Linked DNA regions of Tamandua tetradactyla. The protein of the gene in region 1 purifies or fractionates together with the protein of each later gene. This does not show direct contact. Links are inferred from orthologs where the notes say so. Each region holds a gene or a part of one and is shown on either strand. Other genes may lie near its edges.

Region 1 (8,076 bases):
TGAAAGGACATGAATTCTGTCCTGCCCCCAGGGACATCTGCTACTGCAGGAACTAGACTCATCCCTCCCCACATCAGGTATGAGGCTCCAAGGTCATTATTCACTGACGTCTATGGGTAGAAGGGAGCTGGTGGTGTGTGAAGTTGATGCTGCTCCAGGTTTGCAGTTCCAGATGGCCTTGGCCTAGGCCTCAGGCCGGACCCAGGTGTCTCAGGTTCCAGTGCTCGGAGCACTGGGGAAATTCTCCCTGCAGCCTCTAGTGGACCGTGGCATGGCCTCCTTCCTCCAAGACTGGGTATGAGAGTGTGTGTATGAGAAGTGGCCATACTCACATGATGTTCACGGCCACGGCACAGCCGGACGTGATCAGCATGGTCCCCCCCTTGATCTCATAGTCACCAGAGACCAGCCGCTCTGCCGCCAGGTACACCAGCACCCCAGTCACAACCCAGATGGATAGCACAGAGAGCAGGGCTCCCAGGATCTCTGAGGAGAAACCCAGCCCCCAGCACCAACCTCAGCCTAGGTCCCTAGGGCTGTGGAGAACCTCCCCTCTATGATCCCCCTCACCCCCAGAGAGCCAAGCCAATGCCTGGGCCTAACTGGGCTCTGCTGAGGGAATGACTGGCACGGGTGCACCTTGCCCCACTACCCAAATATCAGACCTAAAAAGGATGTAAGTCATTTTTGTTTTATATGGAAAAAAACTGACCTACATACCCATTGCTCAGCTGGCAAGGATGAGGACAGGCTGGGCCATCTCCCATCAAGAGGAAAATGACAGAGCAGCCCAGAATTAAAAGGGGGTTTAAAGCCTGTATCTTTCAGAAGGCTTTGTTAGCTATCCCTCTCCGCCTCCCCACTGAGCTGCTCCATGGAGGTGAATGCCAGGCATTTTGCTAATGAACTTTGGCCCCTGAATTTCTTAGGTAAGTGACCTCCTTTCCTATAGCTTGGGAGGTCCCGATGACTGGGACCAGGGTTCCCCCAACACCCTGGGAGTTTCTGGAGGACAAGGGTCAGGACTTCTGCACCAGATTGGGAGCTCCCAGAGGCCAGAGGCCAGGGTGATCAACGCAAGGCATCCCCCTGGCCCTACCCAGGGCTCCATCTATTTCAGCCCCCTGAGAACCTATGTCCTAATCCCCTTTCCCTGAACTCTATCTCCAACCTGACCAGGGTCCTCACCAGCTCGCTGCCAGCCAAAATTCATGGTCTTGGTGGCTGGCCTGGAGGACATCCAAAGGGAGAAGAGGCTGATGAGCATGCTGGCAAAGTCAGTGAGCAGGTGGGCTGCATCTGTCATAACGGCCAAGCTATGTGCCAGGTACCCACCTGCAGGGGAATGGCCAGGAAGATGGAGGGTCCTCACCAGCTCCCCAAGGAACAATCTTCCCAGACTGTATGTGCAGTGGAGAGACCAGGGATTCCAGAGACAAGCACACTGGGTTCCAGATTGCTCTATCCACTGGCTGTGTAATTGTGGGCAAATGACACTCTCTGGGCCTTAAATTCCACACATCCATGAAATGGGGATAACATCTACTTAAAGGGTGAATGTGAATATCAAATTCAAATAGTAACAGAAAGCATAACAGGTACTCAGTCAATGCTCTCTGCTCTCTCCTTATAGGCATTCAGGCCTTCCCTTCCCTACTAGCTATATGTGAATCTTGGGCAAGTTACTTAACCCCAGTGTACCTCAGTTTCCCCTTCTGTAAAATAAGGAGGTTAACAGCACACATATGACATCACACTTTCTTGTAAGCAATAATGTATGTAAAGGGCTTAGTGAGTGTTCAAAAACTGGGGCTATTTAGTGTGAATATTCCTGGGAACATCGAGGAGAGAGAAAAGCCTTTTGGATCATTTAGTTAGACTTCAGTTGAATTAGCACAGACTTACCAATGACTTCACCAATCATGAACACCAGACAGATGGCAGAGGCCACATAGAGCTGGCACTGGGCCCTCTCCTTCTTGGGGTCTCGGAGAGTGCCAGGAGCCCTCTGGGCATGACAGTAATGGTTGCTCTGGGTGGTCAGCTCAATGGCTTGCAAGTCCAGGCCAGGCTGCCGCATAGGGATCCAGCCAGCCCCATCCTGCCACAGAGATCCCGTGTATGACCTGGCCAGACCGGAAGGAAGAGGACTCAGCTCTGAGGTGGGGGCAAGAAGAGCTTACTCTAGGCTCACCTTGCTGTGAGGCCTTGGCGTTCCCAATGGGTCGAGTTGGGGTGCTGTTTAGGGACACTGCAAGCTCTCAAAGTCTCTGAGGAGTGACCAGTAGGTGAGAAGCACGTGTTCTGTGAAGGCTTGGGAGATGGGATGAGCAGTATAGGAGTCTGAGGGCCTTAGACGAACAGCCAGAGCTGTTCCCTCCTCCCCCAACCCTTCCAGGAATTGGCCAAGAGGCGGGGCCGGTTCAGCCTAGCGAGAAGAAGGAGCAGAGCTCAGGGAGGACAGACCCGTCCCCCTCCTCCTCCCACCTGCACTTGGGGACAGAGGGCCTCCCCTGGGCGGGGCCTACAGGGGGCAAAGTGCTGGGCTGGTCGCAGGGCTCCGGGCATTCGACCTGCAGCCCCTTTCTTGGCGGGTAGGGGTCGGGATCAACTCTTGGCTTCGAGGGATGGATAAGCCCCCGCCCCCCAGCCCACGCTCGATTTCCCCTCTCTGTCACCTCACCCCATCCCTCTTGCGTGGTGCCAATTCAAGCCGCCACCAAAACCGTCCACTGCCAGGGTGGCAAACCGGGAGTTTCGTCTAATGCCGCTCCAACTCTCGCCCCTCCCCATGCTCTCGCCTTACCGGGCTCCGGGTCTGGCGTCCAAGAGATGCTTTTTCTCCGTGGCCTTCATGCGGCCCCGCGCGCCGGCTGCCCAGCCGAGTGCGCCTTCGAAGGAGCGCGCGGGACGCTCCGCGGCGCTCGCGCTCCTGCGCGGGGAGGAACGCTCGCGCCGCTCCGCTGACCCCTCGCTTTTCCCGCCGCTTCTGCCCGTGGCCTCGCCCGCCCGCTCGCTCCGCCGCGCCCCAGCTGCGGCCCTGGCCACTCGCCGGCCGCCCCTCAACGGCTGCTGCTCCGGCTCGGCGCGCGGCCCTCCCACCTTCGGGTGCCCGCCGCTGCGCCCCGCGTGCGGCCCGCTTTATCCGGCCCCGCCACCCCGTGTGAAGCCGCACGTCGTGTGCAAAAGCCCGCGGGGAAGGGGGAGGGAGGGGACCGGCTGCAAAGGGTGCTCCGCCACTGCCCCCGACCAGCCGTGGGGCCCGAGGAGCCGACCTGGCCTGCGAGGAGCGCCTAAGCACCTTTGCCTCGCTCGGCCGCTCCGGCTGACTGACTCAGGGCTGAGCCAGGCCCACTCAGGCCCCCGCGCGGGGCTGGCCGCACCCCACTCCGAAAAGTGCTCGGACCTTGGTTTGTAGGAACCCTCTTTGGATTCCCTGAGGACGGCAGGGTGGCTCCTTGCCTCATTTTTAGGGGCTCCTGAGGCAGGCTGTATTCCCCCTCCACCTCGGGACTCCTGAGGTCTGCTTGGTTCTTGCTGTCAGACTGAGGCACCCCTGCGGGCGGTGGTGCGCCGCTCCCCTCAGGCCCGAGGCACCCGCCCTCCACAGGACTCTCACTGAAGCAGTTCCTCCTCTCCTGTCCTCCGTCCTCAGAATCTGGAGTGGCTGGCTTTATTTCCACCCCGCGGAGAGCGCTGCGGCACTTCATCAGGAGTTGCCTCTGGGCAGAGCCATCCCTCCCCGCTCCGCAGCAGGTCACAGGAGCCCCAGGAAGCCGGGCCTGCCAACGCGGGGAGATGCGGGCGGAAGGTGCGGGACAGCGCGGGGTCCCTCCCTGACAGCTTGGCGGCTCGCCCACTTGAAGCAGCATCCTCCTATGGTTCCTGAGCGGTGGGGACCTTGCGTGCCCCATGCTGGCCTTTTACAGGTGCTCTGTATGAAACGGCTGCAGCCTCCCTGGCCAGTCACCCCAGCATACCCTAGGTCTTTGTCCCCTGGGTTGAGAGCATAACCCTGCCCAGAGCAGAGAGTCTGGGGTTCAAGTCTCTTGCCCACACCAGTAGGAAAGGAAGGGACTCCTTCAGATCTCACCCCTCTCCCCACTGCTTCCCCACCCCCACCCCCAACAGGAGCCATCATAGGAGGCAAGGTGCTAGGAGCCAGGGTGGTGTGGGATATTGCATGCCTGCTCTGGTTGGGTCCCCACTGAGTGCCTTTCCACCTCCTCAGGATTCTGAGTGTGGAAAACTTTACCAAGCTTCCTGATTTCCTTAAAGGTACAGTCTAAGAACCAGTAGGCTCAGGCATTACCTGGAGAAGGTGTTAGAATGCAGGTTGCAGTTCCCTGCATCAGGCCAACTAAATCAGAATCTCTGGGTGTGGAACCTGGAAATCTGTGTATTTGCAAGATCCCTATGGGATTTTCTGCACAGTCGTTAAACCTCTGCATAAGCTCTTGCAAGATGTCTCAGATAGGTGTTCATCTTATCTCTCCATTCGATTTTAAGCTCTTTGAGGGCAGGGATAGATCTTGTACTTCTATTACATTTTAGCTCTGCTCTGAGCACCTACTGGGCACTTAATTAAATACATGTGAATTGGATTGGAGTAAAAAAGTAGACAACTATAGGGCTGGTCATTTAATCAGAGTAAGTGAAGTGGATGCTGCCCACAGGAAGAGTTTCTTACTGGGTGATCTCAGTTGTAGCTTCAAACTGCCCTAGGCTTAGATTCTTGTCTTTAACCTCTCTGAGGGCAAAACATTTATGCGTTATAAAAGTGTCTTTTAGGTCGGTGCTATGGTGGCTCAGCAGGCAGAGTTCTCACCTGCCATGCCGGAGATCCAGGTTTGATTCCCGGTGCTTGCCCATGCAAAAAAAGAAAAAAAGTGTCTTTTAGGTCCCTTTTGCTCCCTTTAAAGCAAAGCACATTGTAAATTCTCAGTAAATGCAGATTTTAATGGGATCCAGCTACATATATTCACTTTATAAAAATATGCACAACAAATTTTCCTTTAAATTAACAATTTCTCAAGATGCATTTTTTATGATTTGCAAGATTTTAACTAACCAAAGATTAATCAAGACTTGAAGATACTGAAAAAGGCCAAGACCATTTGTATTATATAAATGACTCCTTCAGAATCAAAGGAAACTTCCTCAATATCATAAAGGGTATATATGAAGAACCCACAGCCAGCATCATTCTCAATGGTGAGAGATTGAAAGCATTCCCCCTAAGACTGGGAACAAGACAAGGATGCCCATTGTCACCACTATTATTCCACATTGTACTGGAAGTTCTAGCTATGATGAGGCAGCTAGAGTATGCAAATGACTTCACAAGCAACTGCTTCCATATGTTTCACATTTTTAACATTGATCATTCAAAATTAAAAAAAAAAAAAGGCTCCTATAGTGATGCCCAGGAGGTCCTACGCAGAATGACCTAGCAGCTCCCAATGACTCACCATCACTTGATGAATTTTATCTGAGAATGTAGATTCCCACATTCCAGAACCAGAGTCTGATTCAGTAGGTCAAGGGTAGGGCCTGGGAATCTAAATTTTGAAAATCCCGCTCTGTGTTTGATCCTATTGTAGAATTATTGATAATTTTTTATGGTATACTGACTACTATTTTTTTAAGTACCCTTATCTAAAGTATTGAAGATGAAATTATCTGTATATGTCTGGGATTTGTCTTAAAATGATTATCCCAGTGGGGGAGTGGGTAAGGGTATAGAAGAAGCGATATGGATGATCTGTCAGTAACTGTTGTTGAAACTGAGTAATGGTCCATGGGGTCACATTATACTATTCCTTCTACTTACTTTTCAAAATGTTTTCAATTTTCTAGAATTAAAGGTTTAGGGGCTGAGGGTGGGAAATAAACCTCCTTGGTGACTCTGATGCAATAGCCCATGTAACTGTAGTCCAGATTCATTGGAATAATGCCTTTGGAGCCAGTTTCCAATCTTGTAGCATGCTCTTAAAGGAAGATTCTGGATCAATTTTTTACCACCCTTAAGTGTTCTAGTTTGCAAGGACAGGAAGAGACCTTTGTGTGGCAAAGTAGAGATACACTTATTTGCAATTGATAGATATCTTCCTGGAATTTAAGCTTTGACTGTAGAACCTTGAGTGCCCTCTCTTCTCTGGCAGATAAGTGACAAGCTATCAGGCTGACACGCAACAAGCATGTCATGTAATTCCCACATAATCAGTAACCTGAGAAATAATCTGGAGAAGGATATGCATAAATTGAAATACTAATTGTTTTTTAAAAATTGTTATGCACAGGCCTGACACAGTGTTAATTCCTAGTATACATGAACTGTTATTGTGTTTACTATTATGACTACTATTTTAGCCCCATGGGCATCCTGTGACTTTTCACAGCAAGGCTGCAGACATCTTCCATTATAATCAATCCAGATTTATTGTTTCCCTAAGGGGCAGTGGTTGCTCCTCTGGACAAAGTGCTATGCTTTATATGTTCAATCCCTTTAGACCCTGAGGTTATGTCTCCTTTTTTCACTCCTATAAACCATCCTTGTTTTACATCCTTGTGGATTTGTACAGTTATGTTCTGGAAGGTGCTTCCTGGAGACCTGTTTTACCTTTTTTATGCATTTTTTTTTATGTGCAAATTGCATAAGGAAGCTTTGAAGGCAGGGGGCAGCAGGAGCAATTCCAGAGAACTGCCAGGGACTGGGGGTCGCCACACAGGCCTGAGACCCAGAGCCATCCTGCTCCTGTGAAGTGGGGCTTAATTGCTGCTTGAAGGTTATGAGTGAGACTGGGCTGAGTGTAGATGACAGGCCTGTGTACTTAGAGAGAGTAGTCTCCATCCTGCCACATTCCACTCACCAGAACTAAACAGGCACCCATCTCCCTCTCAGCTGCAGTTTGCCCATCTGTCATGTGGGCAGATAAAGGATGTGTGTTTGGGGTAGGACGGACAGCCCTCAGCTGGGGCAGGCCTCAAATTGGAATCTGGTAAATTGATGGGGCTTTGCTGGGTAGATGTTGGGATTACAGAGACGAGGGAACCCCACGTCCCTGTGGAGGTACAGGGCCAGCCATGACTGTGAAAAAATATATAGCTGAGGAGAGAGACCTCTTTGGGGGTCATCTGGTAAGTTGAGGCATACAGTGGCCATGAGGGAGCTGGCACAGACTCCTCTGTTCTGCCTGATCAGCCAGGAGGTGCAGCTGCAAGGGGTGAGGGTGCGTAGGCCTCACCCTGTTCCAATTTACCTGGCCTCTTTTTATTTTTATTTTTTAAATTGTGGTAACATATATTCAACATAAAATTTCCCATCTCAACCGGTTTCAAGTCTGCAATTCTGTGGTATTAATTGCATGTACAATGTTATGCTCTCATTGCCACAAACGGTTACCAAAACTTTCCCGTCAACCCAAACAGAAACCCTATAATCATTAAGCATTAACTTCCTGCTCTCCGCTCCTGGTAACCTGTAATTAATTCCTGTCTCTATGAATTTTCATATTCTAGGTATTTCGTATTATTAAAATTATACACTATTTGTTCTTTTTCATCTGGTTTATTTCACTCAGCATGATGTCCTCAAGGTTTATCTAAGTTGTAAATGTATCAGAACTCCATTCCTTTTTATGGCTGAGTAATATTCCATTGTCTGGATATGCCATATTTTGTTTATCCATTCATCTATTAATAGTTGTTTTGCTTCCACCTTTTGGCTATTGTGAATAATGCTTTTCTGAACATTGGAGTAAAAATATCTGTCTGAGTCTCTGCTTTTAGTTCTTTAGGGTATATCCCTAGAAGTGGGATTATCAGGTCATATGGTAATTCTATACTTAATTTACTGAGGAACTGCCAAACTGTTTTCCATAGTGGCTGCACCATTTTACAGCCCCAACAGAAGGTTTGTATTTTCCGTTTGTTGAATAATAGCCATTTGAGGGGACATGAGGTGGTATCCTTCGGGACCCTTTGAAACCAAATGATGTAGAGTAGAGGTGCAAGAGAGTTAACGCTCTGGGAGACAAACTTCCAACCCTGAAAGACAGGAGATGGGAAGCATCT
Region 2 (7,090 bases), on another chromosome or scaffold:
TCATACATGAAATCATCACTGTTACAAAATGGTTTTTTGCAACTATTTAAAAATGTCAACCAATTTTTTCTTCACAGCCAGTACAAAAAGTCAGCAAGCCTAAAAAAAGTCAATGAGTCCAAACTGGCCCGCAGGCCATTTTCCTGCTCTAAAAGACGCCCCTGCTTTTCACTTGCCCAAAGTAAGAGAAACCAGTTTTCTCACTCATGTTTTTCCCTCTAGCATGAGGAGCTGCCTACCAGTAGGGGCCCTTCCATCTCCAAGCTATACTAAGTAGCAATTTTTAATGAATAAACATTGCACAAGATTTCTCTTTTAACCATGGAACACTCTACCATAATCCCTTAATAAAATAACCAGAAGGAAAACTTGTGCTAAGTACAGCTCAATCAAATCCACAACCCTTTCAAGCAATTCCAAAAGAACCAGATGTGGTTGGCTATGGAATCAACACCACCAGATGAACACCAGAAGACTTTACATAAAACTATTAATTCTAAAAAATTTTTAAAAAAACATTAAGAGTAAAGTTACTTTATAAGCAAGAAATTAAAAGGTAAATTTAGGATCCTGGAATATAATACATTTAGCCAAGTTGCGTAGAATAGTCTCTTACCTCACTTTATCTTACTGTGTTTTCTATATACTTTTTATTTTAATCTTTACTCATAAAAGAAATTTTCACAATGTGAACGTATTCATCTCGAAACAAAGTCTGGATTCATTATTCTAAGTAAAATAGTCAATCCCCCCTAAATACTCAGAAAGCACCAGATTAGACTTCACCATGGAGAAATCTGTGAAACTGTCAGTGCAAATGGTTAAAACACATACGTGTTTACACACACACACACACACGAATATAATCTCAGATGAAGTTTTCCTAAGTGTGACAGACAGTTTTTAAAACGTACACAATTAGAAGGCATCCTGTTAGGAGACATTCTGAGGCTATGACAACCAGTTATAATTCTACTAGGCTCCATAAAAGTCAAATTGCTTAAACAGTTTTTCAAATTTTAAAATAAATCTACTCTTTTATGAGCAATGAAAACTTATCAAGTTTGCTGCAGAACAGGTGATAATAAGTGTTCAAATAAAACACCCAATCATAATTCTACATCAATGGAAATAAGCCTTTTTTTCCTTATCCAGACCGTTTTTCTATCAAATCTTTGTTAAAAATGACATTTCTAATTAATCATTCTATGCCATTATCCATACTCTATATGAATACGTCATTTTAGTAGCAGTTATCAGTACAGGACTTTAGAGTTGTTTCTTAATTAACTAAAATAATTATTCCATAGCAATGAACGTGGTTTTACCACTTCTTACACTATCACAGGAATGACTGCCTAACAAACTACAATACCTGAGAGATTACAAAAAATATACGTATTTTCTATAAACATAAATTTAGGATTCCTTTCAATAAAGGAAAAGGGGACCTACATATTCACTAAGTCAAAACTAAAATGTCTCTTTTCTGAATAAACTGCTTTATCCACTTCTTAGATAATTCTTTACTGTCATTAAGTCACACGAAATCAACCTCAGTGTAAACTATCTGAATATCTGGCATTCTAAGAAAAATAACACAGAAAAATAAGAAATGTGAAAATGATACACAAGACGACATGGAGAATAATTAGCCACTACTCTCTGTATCATAAATGCTAGCTATTATGAGCCAGCACCCTAGCAGAGTTCAAAAGCCTCTTCTAATTGAACGTAATGTTAACCGCAAGTGTGGTCAAATATGAAACAGCTCACTCTTAATTCTACAGCTGAACTGCCCGTACTTCTTTAAGTGACACAAAACTGGGCTAATGATAAGACGGTAATCGGGTCACATCGCATCACTCACGATCCCCAAGTACAACTCTTAAAGGAATTCAACTCCAGCCCAGTTCTGTTTTTAAAAGCCCTTCCTGTAATAGCTTGCATCATCTTCCTCCTCATAAACATCTTTCCGGTCAGATACTTAAATAGAAGTTTAAAGGAAATCTCCCCTGGGAAGGATGAGAAAGGAAGGTTCCGTAGGATGGGAGTCAGGACCTTTCAAACATATTTTTTTAATGCTTAGGGAAGATGTCACCTGCATAAGCCCGGAGAGTGAAATGGCTCACGATGCATGGTTAAATTTCTTTATGACCCTTTGTATGCTCAGAGATTCAACTAGACAGAAAGATGCACCGGCTTTTCGTTATGTTTCCCAGAGGTTATGAAGGCTGTCCGGGCTGACCGGTCTGAGAGGCTCTTTTGGATCTCAGGCCCCGGTATTAGGCGGGTGCCCCCCGCCACGCACCGGCCCCAAAGTTCCTCCCATCCTGCCGCCGGGAGCAGCCGCCGAGGTGGCCGGGCTTCTGCAATCAGTTCCGGGGACCGGGGGACAATGCGGGGCTCCTGGGCGCCCACGCTCGGGCCCGGGAAGGAGAAAAAGGAGGCCGTGCTCTGCCCGCGACGTGGAACAAAAGACGCTACCCGGCCGGGCCCTGGCGCCCGGGGGTGGAGGACCGGCGCCCGGCCGGGGAGTCGGGGGGGAAAACTTTCCGAAGCGCCGGCACCGTGGAGCGAGGGCCCGGCCTCCCTCTCGCGGTGCCGAGCCACCCGGCACAATAGCCGGACTCAGCGCGGGAAGGCCCGGCCGCCACGCCCCCGCCCCGGCCCGGGGTCCGGCAGTGTACCTGGTGGTTCTCCTTCCTGCCGCCCGCGGCTGCCGTTGGCCCGCCCGGGCCGCTCGTCATGTTCACGTACAGGGAGCGGGTGAGCGGGCTCCGCAGCGTCCACATCCTCCGCGCCAGCCACACGGACGCCAGGCTCAGGCACAGCCAGCCCGCTAACAGTCTCATCGGGGGCCGCGGCCGCTCGCTCAGATCACCGCCCGCGCCGGGGCGAGGAGGAGGAGGCGCCGCCGCCTCCGGCCGCCGCCGCCGCCGCCGGCGCTCGAGCCATCGCGCCCAACTTGCCCATCCAGCCCCTTCGGGGCCGAGGCGGGGGATGGGGAGGAGCGGCCGACTCACACGCAGCCTTCCCACCGCCCCTTTCCCTTCCGTCCCCGGAACGCAGCCGCGGGCGGCGCCAGTTTCCAGCCGGAGCACGTACGAGCGGCTGGAGCGCGTGCTCCCCGGGGCGCTCTCCCTCTGTCCAATGAGCGGGCGGGCCGGGAGGCGGGACAAAAGGAGCGCTCATTCGCCCGGTGCGCGTCCACGCTTCCTGTCTCTGCCACGGCTCCACGTAATGGCGGAGATGATTTTAATTTTTCTAGGGGAGGAGGGGTCGTTTCCAAAGGCGGTAACTGAAGCCCCTCCGCTCCTCCAAGGTGGTTCCCGCAGGACTGCTGGTCTTTCATCGCCGTAATTGTTGCATTTGGGCGCCTCATCCCACACCCGGGCGGTGCGCCCACCTTGTTGGGCAGATTGGCCGGGGGTGGAGGGGTGAGAGCGGGTCAGCCCCTCTTACGTCTTAACACTCAAGAACCAAGTCCTTCCCAGAGACAAACGCTGCCAGTTCTTAACTGTTCAGGCATGGCTGCATACCTCCAGTTTATGTTTAGAGGCGTCGAGTCAAACCCCCAGTGCCAAGGGCCTCCGTCCTGCTTCACATGAACTGCAGGACATTATAGGAATCTAGGGATAAAGGATACCACCACCGGCCCCGTGCCCCCAAGCCTGGCACATTGCGGGCCAAAGGCTCTGCTTTTGTTGAAAGCTACTGCAGTTGGGCAGGTAATGTTTTGATGTGTTGATGGCCCTGCCTAAGGATGGAGACCCCAAATTAGAGTCGCTGGCTGCTCGTTTTCTTGAACTCACAGACGGAAGTTGGACCAAACATTCAGGCTAAGTAAGCTCTGGGAGCGGTGCTTACCCGGATGTTTACGCCTGTGTAGCACTAGGAGTCCTAGCAACGTCTGAAAACTGAAGGGTTACACAGTGTTCCTATGTCTAAAATTCTTCCTGCCGCTACCCAAGCTACAGCCGAGGAGTAACGTATTTCATGGATCCTCTAGCTTTAATAACACCTTTCTAGGTTTGTCTGTTTAAAAACGCTTTTAATTTAACTACACCAGAAATAATGTAAATACATTTCAGTCGAAAACAAAAGAACAATCTTTAGGTTAATGACAAATTTGCATTTCAGAGCTTTTCATTTATGAAACAGTGGTGTGGTGATCTGATAAGCAGCAGCCTCGTTCCTAACCCACAGATATTTTTATTAGCTTCTGAGAATCTCAGCTTGACACCTTTCACTAACAGGGACATCTTGTTGCCTAATGTAAAGGGGGATGGGGGGAAGGGGGCAGGGAGTACTTTGTGTTCTCTCTTTCCATTATACTCCCTGTCTGCTTCCTGCCAAAACCTCAAAGAGCCTACTACATCTTATTAAATCTACTTCAAACCTCCAATGATAGTGGCCCAAATCATCAAAAAGAAACTAAAGTAGCGAGTTCAAATAACTCAGTTTGTTTACTGTGTCACCTCTCCCTCTTGTCTTGGGATCAGTGTTACAGATACAGGAGCTGTGTGCCAAAAGAAAGCCTTCATCTTTTCAAAGTGGGAGGAGGAGGGTGGAAGCAGCAGACAAACGGCATATTTCCGTTCTGAAGACAAAGGAGGCAAAAAGATATGTCCCTTTCTCCCACCCCTTATAAAGTAAGCTTGCTGAGCAGGCAACTTGGAAACTGAAAGGGTGAAACAACTAAATGCTGTTGTAGCCTGAAGGATTTGGGGTCAGCTAACTCCTAAGAAGTCTAGCATCTCGAAGGGGCAGATTTTTACTTTATACCTGAGCAGCTGGCCTGGAAGAATAAATTACCCACACATTTAAAATACTCTATAGTAACCACAAAATAATCAAATACATGTTATTTACACTTAGCAAGCACAGGAAGAAACCAAAGCGCAGCGTGATCAAATGATTTGCCTAAAGGTAGCAGAGCAAATTCAATAGCAGACCTTTTCATAGAACCTGGTATCCCAGCTCACGGTCCTTTGATCCATCTAAGAAGCCCCGATGCCACTCTCTTGTCAGAAAGTCTCCTCAATTACAAATGAGGAGGAAGGAAAACAGCAAGAGTAAATATACTAAGCAGAAGTTCAGATTGCTCTTGGGGACTGCCCCCTTCCTTTATCTACTAGAATGTCACTCCTGTAGATTAAAACCTCAGTTATCCATAATGCAAAGGGGAAGAGGCGCAGATAACACAAAAAGCTGAATAATTCGAGCCATTACCCTTTCTAACTTGGCTCTGAAATGCTGTCAGTGATAATCAAAAGATGCATAGCTGGCACCCTTTGTGCCTAGCTCTCCTCAGTTTTCCTAACCAGGAGCCCATGCCTAGTGCCATATCTCACTTGTGGAAACCTGTCACAGACCTCTGCAGACCTGAAATTTTGAGTGGATTGAGTTCCTATCCAGAAGTCGAAGAAAGGGCTTTTATTTGCTTATTCTTTTAAATGATAAAGCATTTTCATGTTCTCTCTTCAATTTCACAGTGTAATATTCAGAGATCCTAAATGATTAGAGGCTTGGATCTGTACAGTGCCTACAGTATTGGCCATTGTTTTCTCTTTGAGGAGATATAGTCAAAAAAGAACTTTTTATCATTACGTTTTCAAGGGCTTAAATTTTTTTATGTTGCATAATAATGTTTTGTAGAACATTAGACCAAGTTTTCCCAACATATTCAATAGATGTGTGCAACAAGAAACCTCTCAAAAGTAAAATGAATGAGTGTACAGGGTTTGACCTGAATTTAGTTCATATGATTGCAGTCATATACAAGTCACATCACAGTGGTCTCCGAATGATAAATTCTAAGTCCAGGTGAAACTTCAAACATGCATGAAGTAGAAGAATTAAACCAGGAATCAGAAGCCCTGCAGTACCAAGTACAAATAGCACAGCAACTACGTTAGCGTCCTCTCAATGCTACATATTAGCATAGGGGTTTATCATCTGCATTGTTGAGACAAGCTACCTGGTTTTTGAAACCTGGTCCTGTGCTTCTTGGTTATTCAATAATCTAAATCACTTTACTGGACCTCTCCAGGCGTCTGTTTTCTCATCTGTAGCATGGGGATAATAATAATAGTTACCTATCTCTAGGGATATTGTGAGGATGAAATTATATATTCTAAATTTAAAGGGCGTAGTGTAGCACCTCAACACATTGTGAGTGCATAGAAAATGCTAAATTTCTGTTCTTTTCATTTTCTCTTGGATAAACCAACCTCTTCAGAGCTTCCCTTTCATCATCTGTAATCTGTGGGCCATGATGCCTACTTCACAATCTGTGAGAATCAGATGATCTTAAAGCTTCATAAACTGTAAAACATTCAACCAAGATTATCATAATAGGAATATTCAGTTCTGATATGACTGTGAATTCTGCAAAGCTACTCTCCCTAAAACATTCTCTTACAACTGATAGCTTCTCCTCAGACCATCTTCATTTATTCAATAAATACTTTCTGGGTATTTACTTACATCAGGCACTAAACTAGGCATAAAGGAAAACAAAATAAAATCCTCATAGAGCTTACTGTCTAGTAGGGAGACAGACCAAACAAGTAATTATACAATGAATATATACTTAAAACTTCTGAGTGCTAGAAAGAGTCTATGTGTTAGAAGAACTTATAACAGGAATGCCTTACTTGAGGGTGGAATGGGGGTAGTGTTCAGGGAAAGCTGCCCTGAGGAAGTGTGGCATTGTGGTCCTCATTTTGACATTTCCTTATTGAGCTTGAGAGCTTCCGAGTTGCCCAAGTTCTTCCTGGACTATAGGTGCACCCAATACTTGTGACAACAGAAACGGGGTGCTTCTCGGCTTTGATGTAGGATGCAAAGAATCTCTGTGCACTTCACAGGCTCTTATGGGACTTTGGAGAAGAATAAATGAGATCATGTTAGCACAGCTGTCAGCACAGTGCCCAATATCATCAGCTCCCTAACCAGCCATTGTTAGTACTGAACCATGAAGTGGGTCAGAACTTTGTTCTCTCTGGACAAGTGACTTAAGCAGTCCCAGCAGTGAGCCGCCATCTACTTTAAAACTTAGTCTCATACAAGACAAATTCCGTTA

What was found. Proteins that work in one complex are often made in the same cells at the same time.
Region 2: the proteins of SLC30A2 (region 1) and METTL9 purify together in Homo sapiens (co-immunoprecipitation; 3 studies listed by BioGRID and IntAct, with this or other methods). This does not show direct contact. The link is inferred for Tamandua tetradactyla from reciprocal best matches to the Homo sapiens genes SLC30A2 and METTL9.

Annotation. Positions count from the first base shown.
Region 1 is NC_135328.1:200,154,598-200,162,673, reverse strand, and holds the start of SLC30A2 (proton-coupled zinc antiporter SLC30A2), read right to left. Parts: upstream 3,056-8,076; 5' UTR 2,857-3,055; coding exon 2,807-2,856; intron 2,127-2,806; coding exon 1,906-2,126; intron 1,336-1,905; coding exon 1,189-1,335; intron 487-1,188; coding exon 333-486; intron 1-332.
Region 2 is NC_135349.1:34,751,592-34,758,681, forward strand, and holds the start of METTL9 (protein-L-histidine N-pros-methyltransferase), read right to left. Parts: upstream 3,094-7,090; 5' UTR 2,856-3,093; coding exon 2,691-2,855; intron 1-2,690. UniProt on the Homo sapiens protein: Protein-histidine N-methyltransferase that specifically catalyzes 1-methylhistidine (pros-methylhistidine) methylation of target proteins.